Arabidopsis thaliana: one gene and its partners. The protein of the gene in region 3 interacts with the protein of the main gene of each other region in a pairwise test. Each region holds a gene or a part of one and is shown on either strand. Other genes may lie near its edges. The genes, in order: AT3G13990, AT5G04170, AT1G67170 and MYB94.

Region 1 (7,868 bases), on a different chromosome or scaffold from region 3:
GGAAGAAGATGAGCTCAAGGAATGGGTTGCTCAAGTGGAGCCTGGTGTCCTCATCACATTTGTATCATTGCCTGAGGGAGGGAATGATATGAAGCGGATTCGGTTCAGGTAATTTTTAACTGTTTTGTAGGATTTACACTAAGTAAAAGTTTGGATATTGGACTTAATCAAGATGGTACAATATGTTTCCAATCAGGAATATTGAAGATGATACTCAAATGAACTAATCCATACTGTTTTGAAATTGTTTAATTTGATTTTGGAAGTAGAGATGTGTGGTTCTTGGAGACAAGCAATGTGAGAGTACAGTTGATATTTAGGATATTATTATGTGAGATTTCTGTGTTGGAAACTGTTGCTGCTTTCATTTTTCTTGAATCGATTGAAGTGGTCCCAAACCATTTCTTATAATTATGAGAACTTGTACATCCTTTTTGCCAAGAAAGGTCTTTGAGATGTGGGTTATATTTCGGTAGTTGAATCCGATGGAGAACTTAAATGAATTCCCCAAGGACAATTGTGTGGGGAAGTGTTTGTGAATTTCGTAAAGTTCTTTTTGTATGTGGAACATATAATGAGAGCAAGATGATCTAACTAACTTTCTTCATGGCAAGAGGAACACTTCAGCTCCCTAGGATTGATATTTCTAGATTCTAGTTTTGACAATTTACTGCAGATCCCTTGAGTTTTGTGAACCTAAGACTGTTAACCTGGTAGCTCTTTGGTTCTGTATTGTATATGGTTAAGTCAGCTCCTAATTTGTTGATTTCTTCAAATTTGTATTACTTGCAGCCGTGAAATGTTCGATAAATGGCAAGCTCAAAAGTGGTGGGCGGAGAATTTCGACAAGGTCATGGAATTATACAATGTACAGCAGTTCAATCAGCAGAGCGTCCCACTTCCAACTCCTCCTAGATCTGAAGATGGGGTATATGCACCCTCTTCACTTCTGAACACATGAATCTACTCATCAAAACCTGTCTTTGATACTTTGAGGTCTAACTAGTTTTAATTTGGTATACCAGAGCTCGCGAATTCAGTCTACCAAGAATGGTCCTGCAACTCCACCTCTGAACAAAGAATGCTCTCGAGGAAAAGGCTACGCTTCTTCTGGCTCACTCGCTCACCAACCAACAACCCAAACACAAAGTCGACACCATGATTCATCTGGTCTTGCTACAACACCAAAACTCTCTAGCATAAGTGGGACAAAAACCGAGACATCATCTGTTGATGAGTCTGCAAGAAGTAGCTTCTCAAGGGAAGAAGAAGAAGCAGATCATTCAGGGGAGGAGCTATCTGTAAGTAATGCAAGTGACATTGAAACAGAATGGGTGGAACAGGACGAAGCAGGTGTTTACATCACAATCAGAGCTTTACCAGATGGGACTCGCGAGCTTAGGCGTGTTCGCTTCAGGTAAAGATACATTACTTTCTCTGTTCCTTAGTAAAACCCTTTCAAAAGCAAGCACTTTAACAACATTGTCTTTGTGGTTGTAGCCGAGAGAAGTTTGGGGAAACGAATGCAAGATTGTGGTGGGAGCAGAACAGAGCTCGGATACAACAACAATACTTGTGATGACCGATGACGGTCGAAGGCTCTCTAGAGAAGAATCTGACACACACCAAAACAAAACACTTTTCTTTTATATGTTTTACTTGGAAAAAAGCTACAGAGTGATGGAAATAACTTGGGATTCAGATAATGAATGTGCTTTTTAGTTGGTGGTTGTTAGTACATCTCTTTCTCTTCTTTCTCATCTACATCTATCTATAAAGAGGAGGTATTAGTTTTACTGGATTTTCTTGGTGTTATTTTCTTAAGGTAATGTACTGTATATAGTTTAATACTAAGAAAATTCATATTATTGGATTTGAAAATTACACTTTGTGCACTTTATTACTTTTTCTCTAATTATATTGACCATGATTGGTGCTAATAATTATGGCATGTACTTAAATGTTCTGAATAAGAAATGTATAAAGTAAAAACCAGTTAAATTGCCAGCTAACTTGTATCTCCTTAGAAATTTCCATTTCTCACTTCTCCTTTGACTAATCTTTCTATTGAGTTATATTAAGGGTAAAATAGTCAATTAGGTTTATCCAATTAGTGAATTTGGAACCAATTTTTTCGACGCGTGAGAATAAATCCTAACTTCTTTTTTTTTTTTGTTCTCTTAAAGCCGTTCCCTCTTCTCTGTACTCGAAACCCTAGTAGTTGCTCTATCCGATTTTAGGGTTTAAGAGTCGAATCATTAGCATCTACCTTGATTACGCTGATCTCACTTGGTTTCGCTACTCGATCCTTGAATTTCTTTGTTTTTTGTGTGTTTCGGTTTATTCGATACGTCTTTGATCCGTAATGGTGACTGGGTCCAGAACTAGCGGTAATCGTGGGGTAGGACTCGATGATGAAGCGAAAAAGATGATTCAATCGATTAAGGAAGTTGTGGATAGTCACTCCGATGCTGATATTTACACTGCCTTAAAAGAAGCTAACATGGATGCTAACGAGGCTGTGGAGAAGCTGATTCATCAAGGTTTCTTCTCTCTTCATCTCTTTTTCTGCTTTCCTAGTTTGACGGAAGTTAGGGTTTTACTGTTTGTTCTCTGGTCCGCATTATCTTGATCACGATGAATGCTACAACATCTTGTTTGAGGCGTATGTAGAATGCTGTAGATAGGTTATGCAAATTTCGTTTGATGGAGTTCTGTTGATAATTCGATAGATGGATAACTCTTGTTTTCATTTCGATAATTTGTCAATTCTCTTCAGAATACTTCAATTACTATATACTTGAAATATTATTGGTCTTCTTTTCTTGGCTCTCGTTTCGTTGGGTGACTAATATGTGTGTTATTGTTGCCATCATAGTTTTGGTTCGCTAAAAAGCTTTTGTTTTGTTCAGATCCATTTCACGAGGTGAAGAGAAAAAGAGACAGGAAAAAAGAGGTGAGGTTACATATAACTGTTATGGTATCTTGTTCCCAGTTCTTCTCCTTTTTAACATTTTTGCCAATGCAACCACATTGTAGTTTTTTTGTTTGACTCTCCTTAGTCTTTTCGAAACTGCATTTGAAGAAGGTGACTAGATTTTTCATAATGTTAGTTGTGCTTGTGTGACTATTATATCTCATCGGATGTCTGCTGTGGCAAGCTATATTTTTTTTTTGTTTTGTTTAGTATTTTGTGTGCCTTCTAATTTAATTGATCGTCAAAAAAAATTTCAACTTTTCTAGCCATTCAAATAGTTTGATGAATTTGTAGAGATCATCAAGACACCTCTTGTATAACCTCTGATTTTTAGGGCGTTCCTTTGGTTTCAGGATACAGTATTTGTTGAGCCTGCCAACATAAAGAAACCTCTTGAAAATGTTACCAGTGAAGTGAAAGTTCGTACACAGCCTGAACATAATGTTCGGAGAGGAGGCTACAGTAGGAATTTCTTCCCCAGGAACGCTGCTCAACGAAATGCATCTCCTAGAAATCCTGCTACTGGTAAATCAATTTGATGATGATATACTTGCCAGTTTCTTTCGCATGCTTGTACAGTTGTACTAAAAATCTTTAATTTGTTTTAAGCTGTCTTTTGAATGGTTCGTAAACATAATCTATATAACGGCAGTATCAAATGAACTTGGTTAAATCCAGAAAAATATATGCAGGCAAGCAAAGGAAACGTAGAAGAAATTGTTTTGCGTTGATTTGTTTTTTTTTTTTAATCTTTGTTATTGGCCATTGGCGTGAGGCCTTCAAGTTTTATGTAATGTATTGACCATATTCACCTAGAAATGTTTTTCTGTCTGTTTGTAATTTGTTCGTTTCATGTTAGTGCAGGATCCAACAAAGAGTTTCGCGTTGTTAGGGACAACAGGTCTAATCCAAATGTTGATGAAGAGTTGAAGCATTCTTCTGCCCAGTCCTCTGGATCAAATATTAACAAAGTGGTTGCCACTGTGAACAAATTGGGGTATGTATCATCAGTTGTAATTTATCCTATTGTTCTTATTCTAGCATTTTTATCACTAACTTGCCTTCTTTTATACATGTGAAATAGAATGATTTGTTACTCTTGTAAAAATATTTTAAGGGAGTTAATTTGCTTTAGCTGTACTTTTCCAAAAAATAGTAAAGTAGGACTCTTTTTTTTTTTTTTTTTTTTTGTCAATGAACTCTTTAAGACAATAAGAAGCATAGATTAGTTTTGTGCCATACTGCCATTGGGTTTTGGTAGACGGAGATAGGAGTGTGTATGTTCACTTGGTAGGCATTCCTTTGCTAGCCCAACAAGGACTTCTTGTCTCATAATTTCAAGAAAACTATGCTGAATTTAAATAAGAAAATAAAATTTTCGCTCTATTTTAACTGTTTGCCAGCTCAAGAGGTGGTTTGGGCAATCGTAACTCTTCTGGGGCTCAAGATTCAACTGACGAGTGTAATGCTCCAGCAGATGCCAGGCTCAGACAGGCTGAAATTCGTCCTTTGCATTGTCCTGTCAATAAAGAACTCGGTGGAGTTACTTTGCCATCAACCAATTCAGTTCTTGGTGTATATTCGTCTTCCAAAGATCCAGTTCATGTACCTTCTCCTGTTTCTAGATCATCACCCGTGGGAGCTATTAAACGTGAAGTAAGGGGTGGAGGTTTAGGTGGAAAACCTTCTGAAAATGTTGGTAAAGATCCATCTGTGCCCTCTTTTTCAGGGTCCTCTATTAGAAAAAATGGACCTCCAAATGCACATCGACCATCTTCCCCAACTTCAAAGATTGATCACAGTCGAACTACTGCACGTGAGTCTGTTATGCCCAGTGGAGTGGAAAAGAATAGGTCATATTTGAACAGACAGCGTGGGAATAGAGGAAGCCAATATGCTAGAACACAACAAGTTGGTGGCCATACAAAGGGTAACTTATATGCAAATATTTATTAACCGAATGGATGTTGTGCAATTTCTTATTTGATTTCTGCTAGGCGACACTTTATTTTCTGTGTAGCTTCTGCTTTGAGTAATATAATCCCTTCTTTCAATCTATTGGGAATTCCTGGTGAGAAGCCATTTCCTGTCATGACTTCTGATATTCTTGATCAACCTGTACTTATTGCAGGAGCCTCACAGAACAAGGAGTGGAAGCCTAAATCTAATCAGAAACCTGTTGGACATAACCCTGGAGTAATTGGAACACCTACAAAGTCTCAAGCTCGTCGTCCTGCTGATAATTCCATAAATGTGGAAACAGAAGCCGTCAAGTTGCAGAATAAGCTTTCACATGTTCATATAAGTGAAAGTCAGAATGTCATCATCGCAGATCATATTCGTGTCCCGGAGACTGACCGCTGTCAGCTAACTTTTGGTAGCTTTGTTCAAGAGTTTAATTCCTCAAGGAATTCAGAATCTGCTTTCGAAGAATCACACTCTTCAGAAGAAGTTAGAGAATCTGATCGTAGGTAAGTTCTGACAGTTGGTGGGTTTTTTTTTGTACATTTGAATATAGTTTGAGATCACATGCATCTTCCCCAATTAACTTGGTGATATTGTTGACAGTTCGCCAGTTACTTGTCCTGAGGCTTCAGCAGATGGTCCGGGCGTTCTGCCTATCACTATTGATGATCATGTCAGAGTTTCTAGATCTGACTCACCCGTCTCGGCAGTATCTGAGCCACAGTTACCCGAACAGAAAGAAACTCATAGATCTGACAATTTGGATGCGTACTCGGGGATTGAATTACTCAATAGGAATGGTCCACCTTATACTCCTTTGGAGTTTGAACAGCAGCAAGATCCTCCGGAGTTGCAAAAATTTTCTGTAAGGGTTCTTGCAATTTTAACTCTTAAAAATCAAGGAAAGATAAATTCATTCAAAAATGACATGCTCTTCCTTTCCAGCAGGCTTATGACAATCATGGTAGTTATGAATTTCCGTACTTTAGTCCTGCAATGGATGAAACTGTACGAGTTCAAGGATTACCATCTCCACACGAGGTAATTTATGTTTCTGTTGTTAGTTGTTACTAGTTTGCCAGCATGAGTTGATGCGTAAGAGTCTAGTTAGCTCCTGTTTGAGCAGTTGGTTTGTGCATGTGTCATAGTTATCTTTTTTGTTTTATTAACTAGGAAAAACTGATCAAGTATCCTTTTGATAATGCAGCAGGGATTAAGTGCTCACATGTTAAATAATGCCCCACCATCCACTATTCCCATGTTACAGCAACAACAGCAGGCATCAATGCAACAGATGTATCCGCAGGTCCATGTTTCGCATTTTCCCAATCTCATGCCTTATCGTCAATTCCTTTCCCCAGTCTATGTTCCCCAAATGCCCATGCCAGGCTACTCAGGTAACCCAGCAGCATATGCACACCCTTCAAATGGCAATAGCTATGTGCTGATGCCTGGAGGCGGTTCTCATCTCGGTTCAAATGGTGTCAAGTATGGAATCCATCAGCAATATAAACCAGTTCCAACTGGTGGACCTGCGGGTTTTGGGACTTACAACAATCCTAATGGGTATCCAACTAATCCTCCCAATGTAGTTGGAAACGCTACGGGACTTGAAGATCCATCTCGCATGATAAATAAACATGGAAATATTTACGTTCCAAATCCTCAGGTAATGATAATTGATAAGTATGGTAGTTGTGCCCGAACTTTATGTTTTTACCAATTATTTTTTATTCTGATTCATGTCTCCTTATCTAACACTACAGGCTGAGACTTCTGAGATATGGATGCAAAATCCAAGAGATCTTTCAAGCCTTCAGTCTCCATATTACAACGTAGCTGGACAATCGCCTCATGGTGCTTATTTATCATCCCATACAGCACACCAATCGTTCAACCCAACTGCGCAATCATCTCACATGCAGTTCCAGGGTCTCTTCCACCCGTCACAGCCTGGTACGATGGCGAATCCGCACCACATGGGACCTGGCCTCAGTGGTAATGTTGGAGTCGGTGTCGTTCCCTCTCCTCCTCCGTCTCAAATTGGTACCTATCAGCAATCACAACTTGGTCATCCGAATTGGCCATCAAACTTCTGAAGAAAATCTAACCTTTGTCTTCTTGTCTAATGGATTATATAATAGCCAAAAGCAAATATTTTGATTCTCCTTATGAAACGCCAAACTCTGTTTTAATTAATCTTTATTTATTCAATGCATAAAATGTTCCCAGCTCTCAACAATTTGTCTATAAATGCTTTGTCTGCTTCCATAGCCCCTCATTATTTACAGCTGCAGGTATGGTGTTATTCTCCCATGGCGTCAAATTGTCAAGGTAAAGTCCTGTCCGTGCTTCTTAATCATTTACTGCTATTATAGTTTCGGTCGACTTCAAGAACCCTACAATGCATGTGAAGGTTTTTAAGTGTGGAACCCTGTGAGTGAAACATTGTTGCTTGGTGCTAGTGTTTCCCATTGTCAATGTTCTACAAGTATTAAAGAGAATTGTGTGTTTTGTTTAGCTGTTCAATGTTCTTCTTTGAGTTATGTGTCTTCTCTCTCCATTTCCTCATATTCCTTATTAAATTCTTGATAGAGAATCATTAGTTGTTGAGCTTGACCTAACTTTCCTCTAGCCTTTAGAATAGATTACAAATATTCTTAATCGGAGAACTAGTTGAAGCTCAGGCCTATAGGTTTTGATTATCTCCTTGATTACTTTAGTTTTTAGGTGTCATAGCACACTGTGTCATCATAACAAAAGAATCTAATTGATCGTTTTGTTGACATATTTAGAAAAGTAAATATACTTAGTTTGGGGAGGTGGGTCTTAATCAAGGAGCCAACTAGAGTTTACTTAGAGCCTAATTGGTACGGACTTTGATTCCTTCTCTGATTTAATAGGCCTCCTAAGTCCTACCTTATTG
Region 2 (4,594 bases), on a different chromosome or scaffold from region 3:
GCTATGTCTTCTTACATTTTCGATAGATCATGGACAAGATCCATAAGATCGCAGACGTACAAGATGGAGAGGTCAGCATCGGAAAGATAGATCCAAGAGAATTTGGATGGGATCTTACAAAGTTTTATGAATACAGAGGTTCTCTCACGACTCCTCCTTGCACGGAAGATGTCATGTGGACCATCATCAACAAGGTAAATAATTCTAGCAAACCTTGAACCATATCAAGAATCTATAAAATCCCGACTCAAATTTGTATGCCTATATTCAAAAATGCAGGTGGGGACTGTTTCACGTGAGCAAATTGATGTATTGACAGATGCTCGTCGCGGTGTAAGAACTATACACTCTCATATAAACACATTTACTAAGAACACTTTTGAATTTCTGTTTTTTAACTAAACATATTTTGTTAATAACTAGGGTTATGAGAAGAACGCGAGACCAGCTCAACCTCTGAACGGACGTCTGGTTTATTTAAACGAGCAGTCCAGTCCAAGTCCAACTCCACGGCTAAGAATACCACGAGTTGGTCCGGTCTAAGACAGTCTTATAGGACAAGGCAACTCCGAGCCCTAATTTCCATACAAAGAAAATTCGGAAAAGAATTTTGAAGATGTATGAAAATTGGGAGCCATAACTATTTTTTTTTAACTATTCTTTTGATTAAAAGATAAAACTACGCAATATTATATGCATAAAGTTTTTCTTTTATACATGTATTCCAATAAACAAGATGTAATAATATCCAACCATAATGAGTTGTTTGATTATTTTATAACACAAGATCTCTCACTATACATTTCACATTTTTTTTATAAACTCTTGAGTTCAACTAAACCGGAAAAGCTTCCATTGACAATAGCATTCACACAACAAAGAACATACAAAAAAACAGAAGATGTGCAAACGGGTTACCGTAAAAAAAACTTATGCGATGAGGAAGGGGAGGACGGTGAGCATGAAGCTTTCGTAGTTGAAAGTAGCTGAGCCTGAGTATGCTGTGTCCTTCTCCTTGAACTTCTCTGTCAGCCCCTGCAGTTTCCATCATATTACAATTCAGATTACTAAACTTCTAAATACCACACTCGAATCACCAAACCACAATGTAACAAGAACTGTTGCGGTCTCAGATGCAATCACTAGTGAGGCCAAACTCATTGCTGTTCTGACTCCTAAACCTCACCACATTTGACAAAACTAACAAACTTAGTTCGATATTCGGGCTGAAGGACAAGTTTGAGTTTAACTCTCCCCAGGGTTAATGACTTAATTTCTATAACTAATAAGATTTCAATCTCATTTGACCTAGGCGCACTTATCTAGGAGATGTATAAGAGATAAAAAGAGTAAATGAGAGCGTACCTTAACAGTGAGACAGCACCTGCATCAAGGCAAAACAGATACCGTTAATAATAAATAAGCAACGGCCACAGCAAGAAGAAGAAGACGGAAAGAATAACGTACTCAATGAAATTGTCATATTCGATAGCCCTGTTCTTGCCTCCGCTTTTGTCAAACTTGGAAACCAGCAGATCCAAAACCACAGGAGAAACCGAAAACCCAAGGCTCAAAAGCGCATCTCTCAGCTCATTCACATCTATTCTTCCACTCCTGTCCTTATCAGACCTCTCAAAAATGGACTGCCAAAACCAACCACAAGAGTGAATATCCCAACAATCTTGCATAATGGTTACCAGAAACCAAACAAAGTAATGAAAACAATAAAAACAATTGGAACTTACCCTCCAGTTCTGAAGACTGTAGAAAAGTGCAGTAAACTCCTTAGGTCCTGCAACATGTAGACTTCACAAGTCAGTAAAGAACACCAATTCAAAACCAGAACTAAATGATTATTTATGACTTCAACTAGAACTAAAATAATGAAACCAAATGATTCAACAAGATCATAGAGACAGTGGGATACTCTTTTGCACGTAATTAAAGGAGAAGTCCACAAATATTGTTAATTTTGCCAACATGGTAATAGAAAAACCCTGACGATATGACCCAAAGTATGAATCTTTTGAGTTTTGCATCTTAGACAGATAATAACGATACTGAACAAGAATCATAGAGATAAAAAACTTCAGAAACTAACAATCCTTGTTGAATCTAAAGCAAATTTGGGTCAAATCAATCAGAAAACTCACCGATTTTCATAGCATTGCTATTGGTGAATAGATACATAAGAAGATGAACAGTTCTCATACTGAATCTCTGTTGATAAGAAGAGAGAGCTCCTTGAAGCTCCTTATCATCAATAAAGCCACTACCATCTTGATCTGCAGCCTGAAAGCAAGCCACTATATTCGGATCTGTCCCCGGAGCAAAACCTGACGGAATCAGAGAAGCAAAAGGACTTCCATAAGAGGCTTGCGGAGGATAACCTCCGTATCCGCCACCGTGACCAGAAGACGCTGGACGAGGTGGAGCACCACCGTAACTTCCATAGTCAGAAACCCCATGCGGTGGAGTAGCTCCGTATCCTCCACCGTGCCCAGACGGCTGCGACGGACGAGGTCCAGCACCGTAACTTCCGTAATCTGAAGATCCAGACGGTGGTGGAGCTCCGTAGCCTCCTCCGTATGGTTTCTCCTTTGGCGGCTTGTTGTAGTCTCCTGGAGAAGGCGCGTACGGAGCTGAAGGAGGCGGTGCTCCGTATGATGAAGATCCGTACGTCGGCGCAGAAGAGGATGATGATTGTGGTTTAGATGCGCCGTAGGGTACAGCGTAAGGAGAAGAGGTTGTTGATGATCCGTAGGGAGGATTGTTTCCGCCGGAAGAGTAAGGTGGTTGAGGTGGTGGAGGTTGATTACCGCCGCCGTAACCGTAACCGTAACCTTGGCTAGTCGGAGGATATCCTGACATCGATGAAATGACTTGACAATTAAGAAAACAAAAACCGAAACTTCGAAGAGAGATCAGAAATAAAGGATCTTAAAGTTTTGAGATTTTCGTCGAAAGAGAAAATAAAAATCAAAGCTTTGAATGTGATATTTAGTTGACCTCAAGCTTGTGTCAGATTGTCAAGGACACTCTTGGGAAATTTCTCTCTAATTTCAAACTATTTACAATAATGCCATTGGAATTAGATCTAACCGACACTATAATTAGCGGGGGTTTTAGTTCGGTTTAAGACACTAATTTCGAACGGTTTGATATATTGTATTAGTTCGTTTGATTTGTGTTGTAATTAATTTCAAATAGCCTCAACAGAATTATCTTCATATATTTTATCTTATTAAAATTATCATATTTCATGAAACATAAAAAAATAGTAGTATTATATACTCTTACTTGAATGTAATTTTCTTCACCATAACCTCTAAATCTTTTAACCAAATCCATATAGTTTCACAATACAAATATCGATTTGATAATATCGTCGTTATTTAGGCAACGATTTTGATATTATCTACTTAATTTAATTAACAAGCAAATAATACGTTACAAATACAAGGGTTACTTAGTTAGACATTAATTAATAAAAGCAAAGGCTTAACTTTATTTGTTCATCTAAAAGCTTTTTGTGTCCTTGCCGTTCCATGCTCCAAGTAAGGACCTGATTTCTCTCGTTTTCTCTTTCTCTCTCTCTCTCTCTCATTCTCTCAACGAAATCTCGATCTCGTCGAGGAAGAAGAAGAACCCAGATCAGAAAACATAACAACAATGTCGTCGTCTGCGAAGAAACAAACCCTGTTCATATCGACATTAATCATCTCATGGTACTCTTCAAACATCGGTGTTCTTCTCCTCAACAAGTTCCTTCTCTCGAATTACGGATTCAAATTCCCGATTTTTCTCACAATGTGTCACATGTCCGCTTGCGCTATCCTTAGCTACATCTCCATTGTTTTCCTCAAGCTTGTTCCTCTCCAACATCTCAAATCTCGTTCTCAATTCCTTAAGGTTGCTACTCTCAGCATCGTCTTTTGTGCTTCCGTCGTCGGTGGTAACATCTCCCTTCGTTACCTTCCTGTCTCTTTCAATCAAGCCGTCGGTGCTACGACGCCGTTTTTCACGGCTCTGTTTGCTTATCTTATGACCTTTAAGAGAGAAGCTTGGGTTACTTATGGTGCTCTCGTCCCTGTCGTCGCCGGTGTCGTCATCGCCAGTGGGGTAAGCCTTTTTGTTCTGTTCTCAATTCTCTTAACAATGTCAGTGTTGAATGTTAGGTTTCCTGGACCTCCCTAGATTTGAAATTCATGTTTTTTTTTGGAAAGATCCAATTTGGATTCAGATCACTGATCCGTAAATAGATGTTAATGTTGAAAGACCTAAACTTGGACAAAGGTCTAAACTTTGAAATCAGGGCAAATTTGAGTGTTGTTGTTATCTAAAAAGCTTCAGCCTTTTATGGTTTAATCAGGTGTAGAATTTGGTAGAACATCATTTTGGGATCTAACCTTCCTTATTTCTCCGTAAAGGTGATATCTTTATACTGTTTTTGTACTTCTCTGAAGCTTGTCAAGTGGTTATATCATATCCTTGTTTTGTGTGTTTTGAATTTGTATCATTGTGAAGAGACGATCTTATTGCTATTTTTTGTATGTATGATCTTGATCTAAGTACCAGTTTTACATTGCAGGGT
Region 3 (4,816 bases):
CTTACATCTTTCGTATCAAATGGGCCAGAATCGGTAAACCCTAAACTTAAAATCGAGGTAACTGAACCAAATTTCAGCAATTGAATTGAGAAATCAAAAACCTTTTTACAGAAATCGAACAATGAAACCTTAGAAATTGCAATTTCTTTATTGGAGAAGAATTACCTGGTCTAATTGGTACAAAGTTGCTGCGATTATCTCTTTGTTTGCTTCAATCTCTCTTCCCCTTCTTTCTCAGGTCCGTGACAATGGAAGCAAATGGCTAAAGGAGAAGCGAAATTTAGATGGGAGTCTGGCGGGAATTTAAAAATATCAAAAAATTTCAATAATTTTATCGGACGGTGTTTCAAAAATATTTTTTTTTTAAAACAACTCGTATTCTGTCCAAAAATAAAATAAATAATATATATATATATATGAAATGGGCCCTTCTCACAAAATAAAATAAAAAATAAAATGGGCCCTTCAAAAGTAAACTAAAACTAGAAACTACAGTATTACAAAGATAAATTTAACTTTCGATTCATTTGTAAACTTTTTAACTGAGTGAAACATAGAGTCATAGAGACAAAATGGTGAAGGGCAAACAACAAATTTCTCTTTCTTTGTTTTTTCTTTCCCGATGTTACATCTCTCTGTATCACAAAACTTGTTGAAAACCGTCTCACAAAAGTCAAGCTCTCAACAAAATCAGTTAAACAATAGCACTCAACGTTCACCACTGTACCAACTTCTCTTTACCCATAAAGATTATGGGACCAAACAGGCAACAATTCCACAGTTGAAGGAATCTGTAGCTGGTGAGTTATTTATATATGTACTCTTAGCTGGTGGACTCATCTGCGACTAGGGTTTCCGTGTGTACCGGCGTAAGGAGTATTGTTAGATGGTCCAGGTGGGAATGGAGCGCCGTAAGGTCCTGTTGGTAACCTTGTTGTTGGGTCATATGAACCAGGAGGGCCTCTTGGAAAGTTGTAACCGGGTCTTTGAGGGAAGTATCCTGGCTGAGTTACTCCTTGATAAGGGTATTGAGCTGCGCCAACAACTGAATTTGGTCCAGTTGCGTTACCAGCTACTGGTTGAGGAATATATCCCTGCAAAAGTAACAAAACGTATATAGCTCAAGCACATCTAAATCAACTAATGTGGAAAACTATAATGGGTCTCAAAAAGACGAGCTAGCAAAGAGAAACTCACGAACCTGAGGACCAAAAGCATCTTCATAATAACCGTTTCCACTCTGATGTCCAGAAGCGTCAATTTCAGCATTTATGTTGTTACCATAAGGGCCACCTTCATTTGATTGACAGATACAACTCTTAAATTACTGAAAAAAGTTCGTGGAACAATGAAGCTAAATAGAGCAGAAACTAACTAAATAATTCAATATACCTGCTCTTCTATCTGAATTTGCATTGTTCATCAACTGTGCTTGAAGTTTTTCAACTTCCCTAGCCATAGTCATGTAGTTCTTCTCCATTGCCTGAAGTGACTCGAGATGGTCATTATAAAACTTCTTCTCATAGTCATATGTTGCCCTGCCAGAATCAGATAAAATCAAATTCATCCCAACCTTCATAAGAGGATGATACAAAAGCTGACAAACTCAATAACTATAAGAAGAGTGTCGGGAGCCAGTGATATCAGAAACTTCCATTCTACAACCATTACCTGCACTGCTGGTACTCCTGTCTTAGATTCTCAAGTTCAGACATCAGAGCAGGTATTTGCTGCACATCAGAACGAGATTTTTGAAGTTCCTGAGTCAACTGATGCACTTTAGACATAAGCTCCTCCCTAGCCACAACAAGACTCCGTGCCTCAGCACGTGCTTGTTGCATCTCCAACTTAACAGCCTCAGATTTCTGAAGCTCAGTCTCCATTTTAGCAACTTTCTCAGCAAGACCCATCATCCGTTGCTCTCTCTCGGACTTCATCGACCCAATTTGCGCGTGCAACATCTGTATTTCATGCTGTGCTGCTGCTAACTCTTGTCTTAAACTACCATGAGTTCCACCAAGTCTCTGATTCTCTATAGCAAGTCTCTGTAATTCCCCGTGTTGTGCCACAAACTTTTGCTCCATAACTTCAGGTGGAGGTAACATGTTGAAGGAAGGATACACACCTTGAGCAGCAGAAGGTGGTATAGCACCGTGATTACCGAAAGTCTCCGGATGCGCTATACAGCCACCGGGACCTGGAAGAGGACGCCTCATATGATGATGAGATGGATGGATTCTTCCTTTGCTTTCCATTAAACAAAGGCTTCTTCAAATTCCTTATCAACTGAGAAAAACATAAGACAGAAGATTAAGAGTGACACACATTAACACAATCTGCAGAATCAATGCACCTAAGTAAAAATATTCAAATCAATGTCTCTCTTTTTTTTGTTTGCCATTGAAATCAAACTTATTCATAGGCAAACAGAACAATCATCAAATTAAATTAGGGCAGGGAAATCAATTGATTTGAAAATTCCCGACCAAATTAGGGTTCTAGATCACCGAAATCAAATTCGAAGAAACGATTTAGATCCTGACTAATTACCATTAAATCCTGAAAAGGTATAGGTTTGATGACTTTATCGATTCGTACCTTGGAATGGAAGAAGCTCACTGGGATTATTTGATCGAGTGTTGGGATAGAGCGAAGAAGACTAAGCAAACGACGGCGAAGGTTTTTTTTTTCTTTTCTTTTGCCGGCGTGAATTTTTTTTTTCCTACAAGTTAAGATTTCTAATCCAACGAAACCCATTAATATATGGGCCTATTTTACATAATGGCCCAATAGCCTCATTAACTTTATTGACTCATCTTCTCCCCCACGTCTCTGAGCACAAACCCTAAGATTGAAAATCGTGAAATAGCACAAAAGAAGGAGATGAGCGATTCCGACGGAAAAAATATGGAAGGACGATTCGAAGCGGCCTATATCGTGGACCTAGTTAGATTAATCTTGGAGCGCTTGAGCTTCGTTGATTTTCATCGAGCGAGATGCGTTTCTTCAACATGGTATGTTGCTTCGAAATCAGTCATCGGAGTAACAAATCCAACAACTCCATGGATCATTCTTTTTCCAAACAAAAATGTCGAAAACAACGGTTCATGTAAGTTGTTTGATCCTCATGAAAACAAAACCTACATAATCAGAGATTTAGGGTTTGATATGTCTACGAGTCGTTGTTTAGCGAGTTCCGGTAGTTGGTTCCTTATGTTCGACCATAGAGCTGATTTTCATCTTTTGAATCTTTTTACTCGAGAGAGGATTCTTCTTCCGTCTCTCGAATCAATCGATGGAGAACGGTATATGCGATTCAAGAGACCCATTAGCGGTAGCCATATAGAAATAGACAAAGCGGTTCTGTGGGTAGATGACAAAAGCAGAGATTACTTTGTGTTTTGTAATCTTTCTAGTTATGTAGCATATCATCACAAGAGAGGAGATGACAACAATAGCTGGAAAGTTCTTCAACCAATAAAGCATCAAGGCTGTGTTGATATGGTGTTTAAAGAAAGCAAGCTTTACATGATTAGTGCACATCAATGTCTCACTGTTTTTGATTTCTCCGGTGGTGTTTCTCCAGTAGAAATGGAATGTGCAAGTTTCGGATCGTCTGTGTGTGTAAATAGATTTCATATGAAGTATTTCAGCAATCTTGCTGTGACTTTGTCTGGAGAAGTTTTGATCATTGTAGGTGGTAAAATGGATAGTTCTCCAGAGGCTAAATGCGTCTTCACTGTCAATAAGATGGATCCAAAATCATCAGAATTTACAGTACTAATCAAGTCTATAGGGGACGAGGCATTGCTTTTGGATTTAGGAATTACGGTTCCGGCCAAAGATGGAGTTATGAGAGATTGCATATATTTTAGTAATGATCAGTATCATAGATGTTGTGGGATTAGTCTACGCGATGGTTATAACGCTGACCGTATTTGCGTTTACCAAATCGGAAGCGATTATGTGGTCCAAGAGTTTGAACATCTAACTACTTCCTCGACAAAACTTTTCAAGGATGCTCGTTGGTTTTTCCCCACTTTTGGTGATAAATGGTTGTGAATTAATACTATCAAGTTTTGTCTTTTTGGTAAGGGTGGATTATTTGTTTTTGGGTTTGATTAGCAACACGGCTTTGATACTTTCAGCTTTTTGGTTCCACTTTTTCTTACTGCTATTTTGTTATGTTTTTAGCTGTTTTTTAAAATTGCTTTTTCGTACTTCGTACTACTATTTTGTTATTCTGATTTCATATGAAACCTAGCTCAAAATTAAAATACATTATTTGGAAATTCATAACAAATAGTGTTGCAGTTAATCATATGGAGTTTATCGCGATGAGCCTATGATGAACAAACTAGAATATTGGCCTACGTACCTTCTAGACTTCTGGCCTATGAAATAAAAGTTTTGTAATTTTCTTATGTAATTTAATCCCTCACTTTTTGAATGAAAAGACGATTTTATGGCAAGGTTAACGCTTCAATTTGTTGACTATTATTTTCCCACTTTCTTTACTAAATATTTAGTTAGTCACTCATAAATTATATTCAATGAATCAAAAAACACAAGTGCGGTTGCTTTGTGAGCAGACCAATTACAAGGCGTCGTCCCTAAGAGAACAAGAATAATAATTTTTCTCTCTATATATTTGAAATTAAGAACATTAAAAAATAAAAATAAAATAAAAAAAACAAGCTTCGTATTCACGGATATCTCTGATCTCTTGTTTAGTTGTTTCCATCTATGGATTCTTCATCCAGTAATTCTGCAGGCGAAGAAGGTACGTACGTTCGGGCTAATTTGTACATGATGA
Region 4 (4,415 bases), on a different chromosome or scaffold from region 3:
TCACAAAACGTTCGTCAACTATCAAAACAAACTTTTTAAACCATTGAAAAATAGATCAGAACAGTCAAATAAATTCCATAAATTCCATTTTCAGCCAATTAATTTACTAAGCCCGAAATTTATTAGAGACTCAAGCAAAAAAAAAGTCAACGAGTTGGGTGTGAGACAGTGTGACATTAAAATATGTGTGATGTCTCTAAGGTAAAGCATCTCTACTTGGATCATGCTCGTTGTGCTCAACACAGGCATAAGTCAAACAAACACTCACATTTTCTTCTGCATTAAATTCACTACTTTTTTCTTCTTTTTTTGCCTCTCCTGTTAATTAGCAGCTTTATTTTATTAGTTTTACATAATTCTATGAATCACTAGATTTTGCCTCCTATAATCGGATACAAAACTAGATTTTGCTCTTTAATTTTCTTTTAGTAACAACTCATTTTTTGTTTGTTTAATGAAATATCTCACCAGTAAAAGAACCTATATCTTTATTATAGAACTTCATTATTTAGTACATTAAACAGTTTAAAGTAATCTTAATCTATATAATGAATGAGGAGAAAAGTTTGTTCTACCTACTGATTGAAGTTTATGGAAACATAAAATCTGAAACCTAACCATATCAATACTAATTAAGTGACATGAATTTGTATAACCAAATGAGTCACACGATTAAAAAGACGTTACATTAATAAAGATGATGTACACTTTTGAGTTTCTACTACATAGAAGATATCATCTCCACGTCGACAAAGATTTAAGGAAAAAATAAAGAGTTACTACTAAAAAGATAGAGAAAAATGTGTTAAAACTTAAGAGTTACTACTAAAGACTAAAATCCCTAATTACTGCAATATGATCATAATAAGGATTGAAAACAAAACTAAAGAGTACTTAATTATACAAATTGTTTATAACTAAGCCTCGTGGTTCCTCAAGCAAATCGTCAAACTTTAATGCTTTCTAGAACAACACTTCCTGACCCTCTAGTGACATGTTATTGATGATCATATCGTGGCTTTGCTCATCAAAGAGCCATTTCTCGAACAAAGAAAGAGAGCCTTGTGTAATTAGACCATTAATGTCATGGTCTATTAGTTTAGGCTTCTCTTCAGCTTCATCTATGGAGTTGAAGCTGAACAAAGAATGGTCAATCCCTTCTCCGTCTCCTTCGGTTGTGCTAGGGCTCGAAGCTGCCGTGGTGATAGCCATCTCGGTGGCTGCAACCGGCAAGGGCACCGAGGTCTTTGGTGTGTCTTTCATAAAATTCTGAAGCAAACGAGCAATGTTCTCAGCACTTGAAGCATAGACCCCAGATGGGTATGGATTAGTGTTTCTCGTGGTGGTGGTGGTGGTGGTGGTAGAGGACGAAGAAGATGATGGACCATAACCAAGATCGGGAATAGAAAAATTAGTTGGGTTTTGTGGTTTGTCAATAGACAAGGCATCACAAAGAGCTTGTTTAGCCATGTTGATATCTGTCTGAAGCCTTCTCTCCCATTGACCTTTACTGGAGTTGCTGCTTTGATGTGAGGTAGTGTTTTTGTTTGATATGGAGAAGTCTTTATTATCAAGGCCATTGTTGATAGTACTATCACAAGAATCATTCATCTTCTTGAGCTTTTTCTTCAAATGAGTGTTCCAATAGTTCTTTATATCATTGTCTGTCCTTTCTGGAAGATATGATGCTATAGCTGCCCACCTTCATAATTATTTGGTCCCCAAGTTATTTAAAGTTCAAAACCTTATCTTTATGCATACCCAAAAAAATAAAAGAATTTGTATACTTTTATAGATCATGTGCATGTGAATATGTATGTATTTACCTGTTTCCCAAAAGAGCTTGAAGATGGAGAATCATCTTCTCTTCATGCTCGGTGAAATTTCCACGCTTGATCCCAGGTCGAAGATAATTAGTCCACCTCAATCTACAGCTTTTGCTACATCTCCTCAAACCTAAATCACCACAACAACAACAAGATAATTTCATTAAAAGAGTAATTAATTTGTGATATATGGACAAAAAAGCTGGTGCCATAAATCGGATATTATTACAATTTTTCCTTTTCATTAAATGATCATACCAACCAAGTGGAAGCCAGAACAAAACAATCACAAACCCAAGAAAAAAACAAAAAACATTAAAGGGTACTTCTGAAGAGTATAGGGGTTAACAATTGAAATTAAAATATTACTATTGTTCATTAAAAAAACATAATATTAAGATAGAAGAAGATACCTGTGTGAGTAGGCACAGATCTCCAGTTTCCAGGACCATGTTCTTGGATGTAAGAAACCAAGATGATATCTTCCTCTGGTGTCCATGGTCCTTTCTTCACTCCAATCTTGTCACAGCATGGTGGTCTTCCCATCTCTATCTTCTCTATGTAAATATCACTTTGTGATTAGGGGAAGAATGGAACGGTTTGTGGTATGAGCAGAGAGAAGGACTTTGATGATGATCAGATATATATATTGGTGAAGAACGGTTTGTGGTTTTTTGTGGCTTGAGAGCTTAGGAAATTGTAGGGTTAAAGAGTACTTAAGACAAAGAGGTACAAGTGGTGGTTGGTTTTGTCTGAAGATGTGGAGAGAGAGCTTGTGTATATTTATACAGCCAAAGAGAGAGAGAGAGAGAGAGAGAGAGAGAGAGAGAGAGAGAGAGAGAGAGAGAGAGAGAGAGAGAGAGAGAGAGAGAGGTTTAAGCTGAAGAGTGAATTAGTAGCAATAATAATAGAGTTAAAAGTAACAATAATGAAGAGTGGGGTTTTGCTATCAAAGAGTCAACATGGACAGCCAAATGCATTTACTCTCTTGCTCTCCAAAGTCAGCCTCCTCTCTCTCTCTCTCCACCATTACTCCATGCTTTCTCTCTCTAAAATTAGCCTACTATTTTCTCTTTGTAATTAGTCATTTCATATTATCGCAAATAAACCCTTAATTTTGTCTCCACACGAGAACATATGTGCATGTATCATTTTATTAGGTGTTCATCAATTTGATTGGGTTTAGACTTCAAAGACTTTGATTGCATTTATGCATGGGTCCACAATGAGAGTGAAATGAGTATATAACTTCTATTTATGTAATTAAACCTTCTAATTATACATTTGGAAAAGCATACATGAATTAAACAATAAAAGGATTTTCATAATATGAATTTGTAAATTTGGATTTTCCACTTGCATGCATATATGTGGCATGATTTTACAATGTCCTTCCTGCGTTATTGAGAACCAACCGGAATTTAAACTAATTATCTGTCTCTCTAAAAATATTGATATTTTGTGAGTTATGTTGTGATCAAATTGGTATACATATCATATGAAAACTATTACATGATCTCAAAATATATAAAACTAGTAACCACTTAATAAGTCGACTTAGCATATATCAAAATTGAGTGAACTTAACTAAAATCAAACCAAATATTTTGGTTTCAATCCCGTCAAATTCTCATGAACAATCAAATATAGACATCAACAAAACACAGAATAAGTAGCAAAATTTATTATTTAAAAGAAGAAAAAAAAGAAGTTAAATTTGAATTGATGCGAATTTAGTCGAACATGTAAAAATGTTAATTAGTGGTGTCAGGTGTGACTTGTGAGCTTTTGTAGGTAATTGAATTGAACGGTTGATAAAAGATAATCGAAACACATATCCCCACATTCCCAATAAGGAAAATGTCCACACATATAGATCTTTTGGTGATGTTGGACTTGTTGGTATATTTAGATCGATAAACTTTTTTTTTGTAAAACAATAATGATTGTAATCTCATACACTAAGAATTGGTTTAAAAATCAGTTTAAGGATTTCAAAAACTTTACAAGAAACGAGAGGAATGTTGCAAAGCGCGTCGTCGTTGTGTATTGAGCTTTTAAATTGGATAGGAAATAATATTATACGTATCTAAATAATTAACATAAATATTATATAATACAATATGAAAAAATCGTCTGAAGATACTACGTACAATAGATACAAATTCAACGGACCGTAGAGACTTCATTGAACAAAATAGGTTGAAACCCCATACGCCACGTCTTTTTGTATTACGTAACCCATGTCCCGAGGATGATGGTATTAATAATTTTGACTAAAATCGTCACATAGACACCTCTAACTAGTTATATTTATTTGTTGTTAAAGTATAACTAGTTATATTGTAATACTGAATATCAGAAATTGAATTGTATATTTCGAAATTATTTTACGTTGTTGGTATCGTTTATAATATTGATTAGAATTCAACAGAAAACTTCTTGTCTGGTTCTTAAGGTTAAGATTATGCTTTTAATTTTACCGAGGCTGAGTATCATGCTATGCGTCGATTTCTTTTTATATAAGAATTAAGGTATTTGAAGATAAGAAAATATTTTCAACATTTTAGGTCTACATTTCAATTATTG

Evidence for each region.
Region 1: the proteins of AT1G67170 (region 3) and AT3G13990 interact in a two-hybrid assay, tested with the Arabidopsis thaliana proteins (one large-scale study listed by BioGRID).
Region 2: the proteins of AT1G67170 (region 3) and AT5G04170 interact in a two-hybrid assay, tested with the Arabidopsis thaliana proteins (one large-scale study listed by BioGRID).
Region 4: the proteins of AT1G67170 (region 3) and MYB94 interact in a two-hybrid assay, tested with the Arabidopsis thaliana proteins (one large-scale study listed by BioGRID).

Annotation. Positions count from the first base shown.
Region 1 is NC_003074.8:4,624,881-4,632,748, reverse strand, and holds AT3G13990 (dentin sialophosphoprotein, putative (DUF1296)), read left to right. Parts: upstream 1-2,135; 5' UTR 2,136-2,365; coding exon 2,366-2,543; intron 2,544-2,912; coding exon 2,913-2,956; intron 2,957-3,330; coding exon 3,331-3,502; intron 3,503-3,841; coding exon 3,842-3,974; intron 3,975-4,380; coding exon 4,381-4,907; intron 4,908-5,108; coding exon 5,109-5,448; intron 5,449-5,545; coding exon 5,546-5,807; intron 5,808-5,887; coding exon 5,888-5,983; intron 5,984-6,149; coding exon 6,150-6,611; intron 6,612-6,708; coding exon 6,709-7,041; 3' UTR 7,042-7,366; downstream 7,367-7,868. Other genes in the region: ATBRXL2 (DZC (Disease resistance/zinc finger/chromosome condensation-like region) domain containing protein), read left to right, coding at 1-108, 793-928, 1,026-1,417, 1,501-1,579.
Region 2 is NC_003076.8:1,143,856-1,148,449, reverse strand, and holds AT5G04170 (Calcium-binding EF-hand family protein), read right to left. Parts: upstream 3,020-4,594; 5' UTR 2,872-3,019; coding exon 2,154-2,871; intron 1,793-2,153; coding exon 1,746-1,792; intron 1,644-1,745; coding exon 1,468-1,643; intron 1,385-1,467; coding exon 1,366-1,384; intron 1,036-1,365; coding exon 931-1,035; 3' UTR 669-930; downstream 1-668. Other genes in the region: ACA3 (alpha carbonic anhydrase 3), read left to right, coding at 27-194, 280-333, 424-543; AT5G04160 (Nucleotide-sugar transporter family protein), read left to right, coding at 3,673-4,122, 4,592-4,594. UniProt on the Arabidopsis thaliana protein: Potential calcium sensor.
Region 3 is NC_003070.9:25,125,166-25,129,981, reverse strand, and holds AT1G67170 (sarcolemmal membrane-associated protein), read right to left. Parts: upstream 2,810-4,816; 5' UTR 2,599-2,809; exon of another isoform or gene 2,551-2,598; intron 2,287-2,550; 5' UTR 2,256-2,286; coding exon 1,672-2,255; intron 1,539-1,671; coding exon 1,393-1,538; intron 1,294-1,392; coding exon 1,202-1,293; intron 1,095-1,201; coding exon 837-1,094; 3' UTR 525-836; downstream 1-524. Other genes in the region: AT1G67160 (F-box/kelch-repeat protein, putative (DUF295)), read left to right, coding at 2,884-4,055, 4,735-4,783. UniProt on the Arabidopsis thaliana protein: Has no transcriptional activation activity.
Region 4 is NC_003074.8:17,538,664-17,543,078, forward strand, and holds MYB94 (myb domain protein 94), read right to left. Parts: upstream 2,645-4,415; 5' UTR 2,373-2,644; coding exon 2,240-2,372; exon of another isoform or gene 2,072-2,239; coding exon of another isoform or gene 1,957-2,071; coding exon 1,827-1,956; intron 1,703-1,826; coding exon 964-1,702; 3' UTR 626-963; downstream 1-625. UniProt on the Arabidopsis thaliana protein: Transcription activator involved in the activation of cuticular wax biosynthesis under drought stress. Binds directly to the promoters of genes involved in cuticular wax biosynthesis. Transactivates WSD1, KCS2/DAISY, CER1, CER2, FAR3 and ECR genes.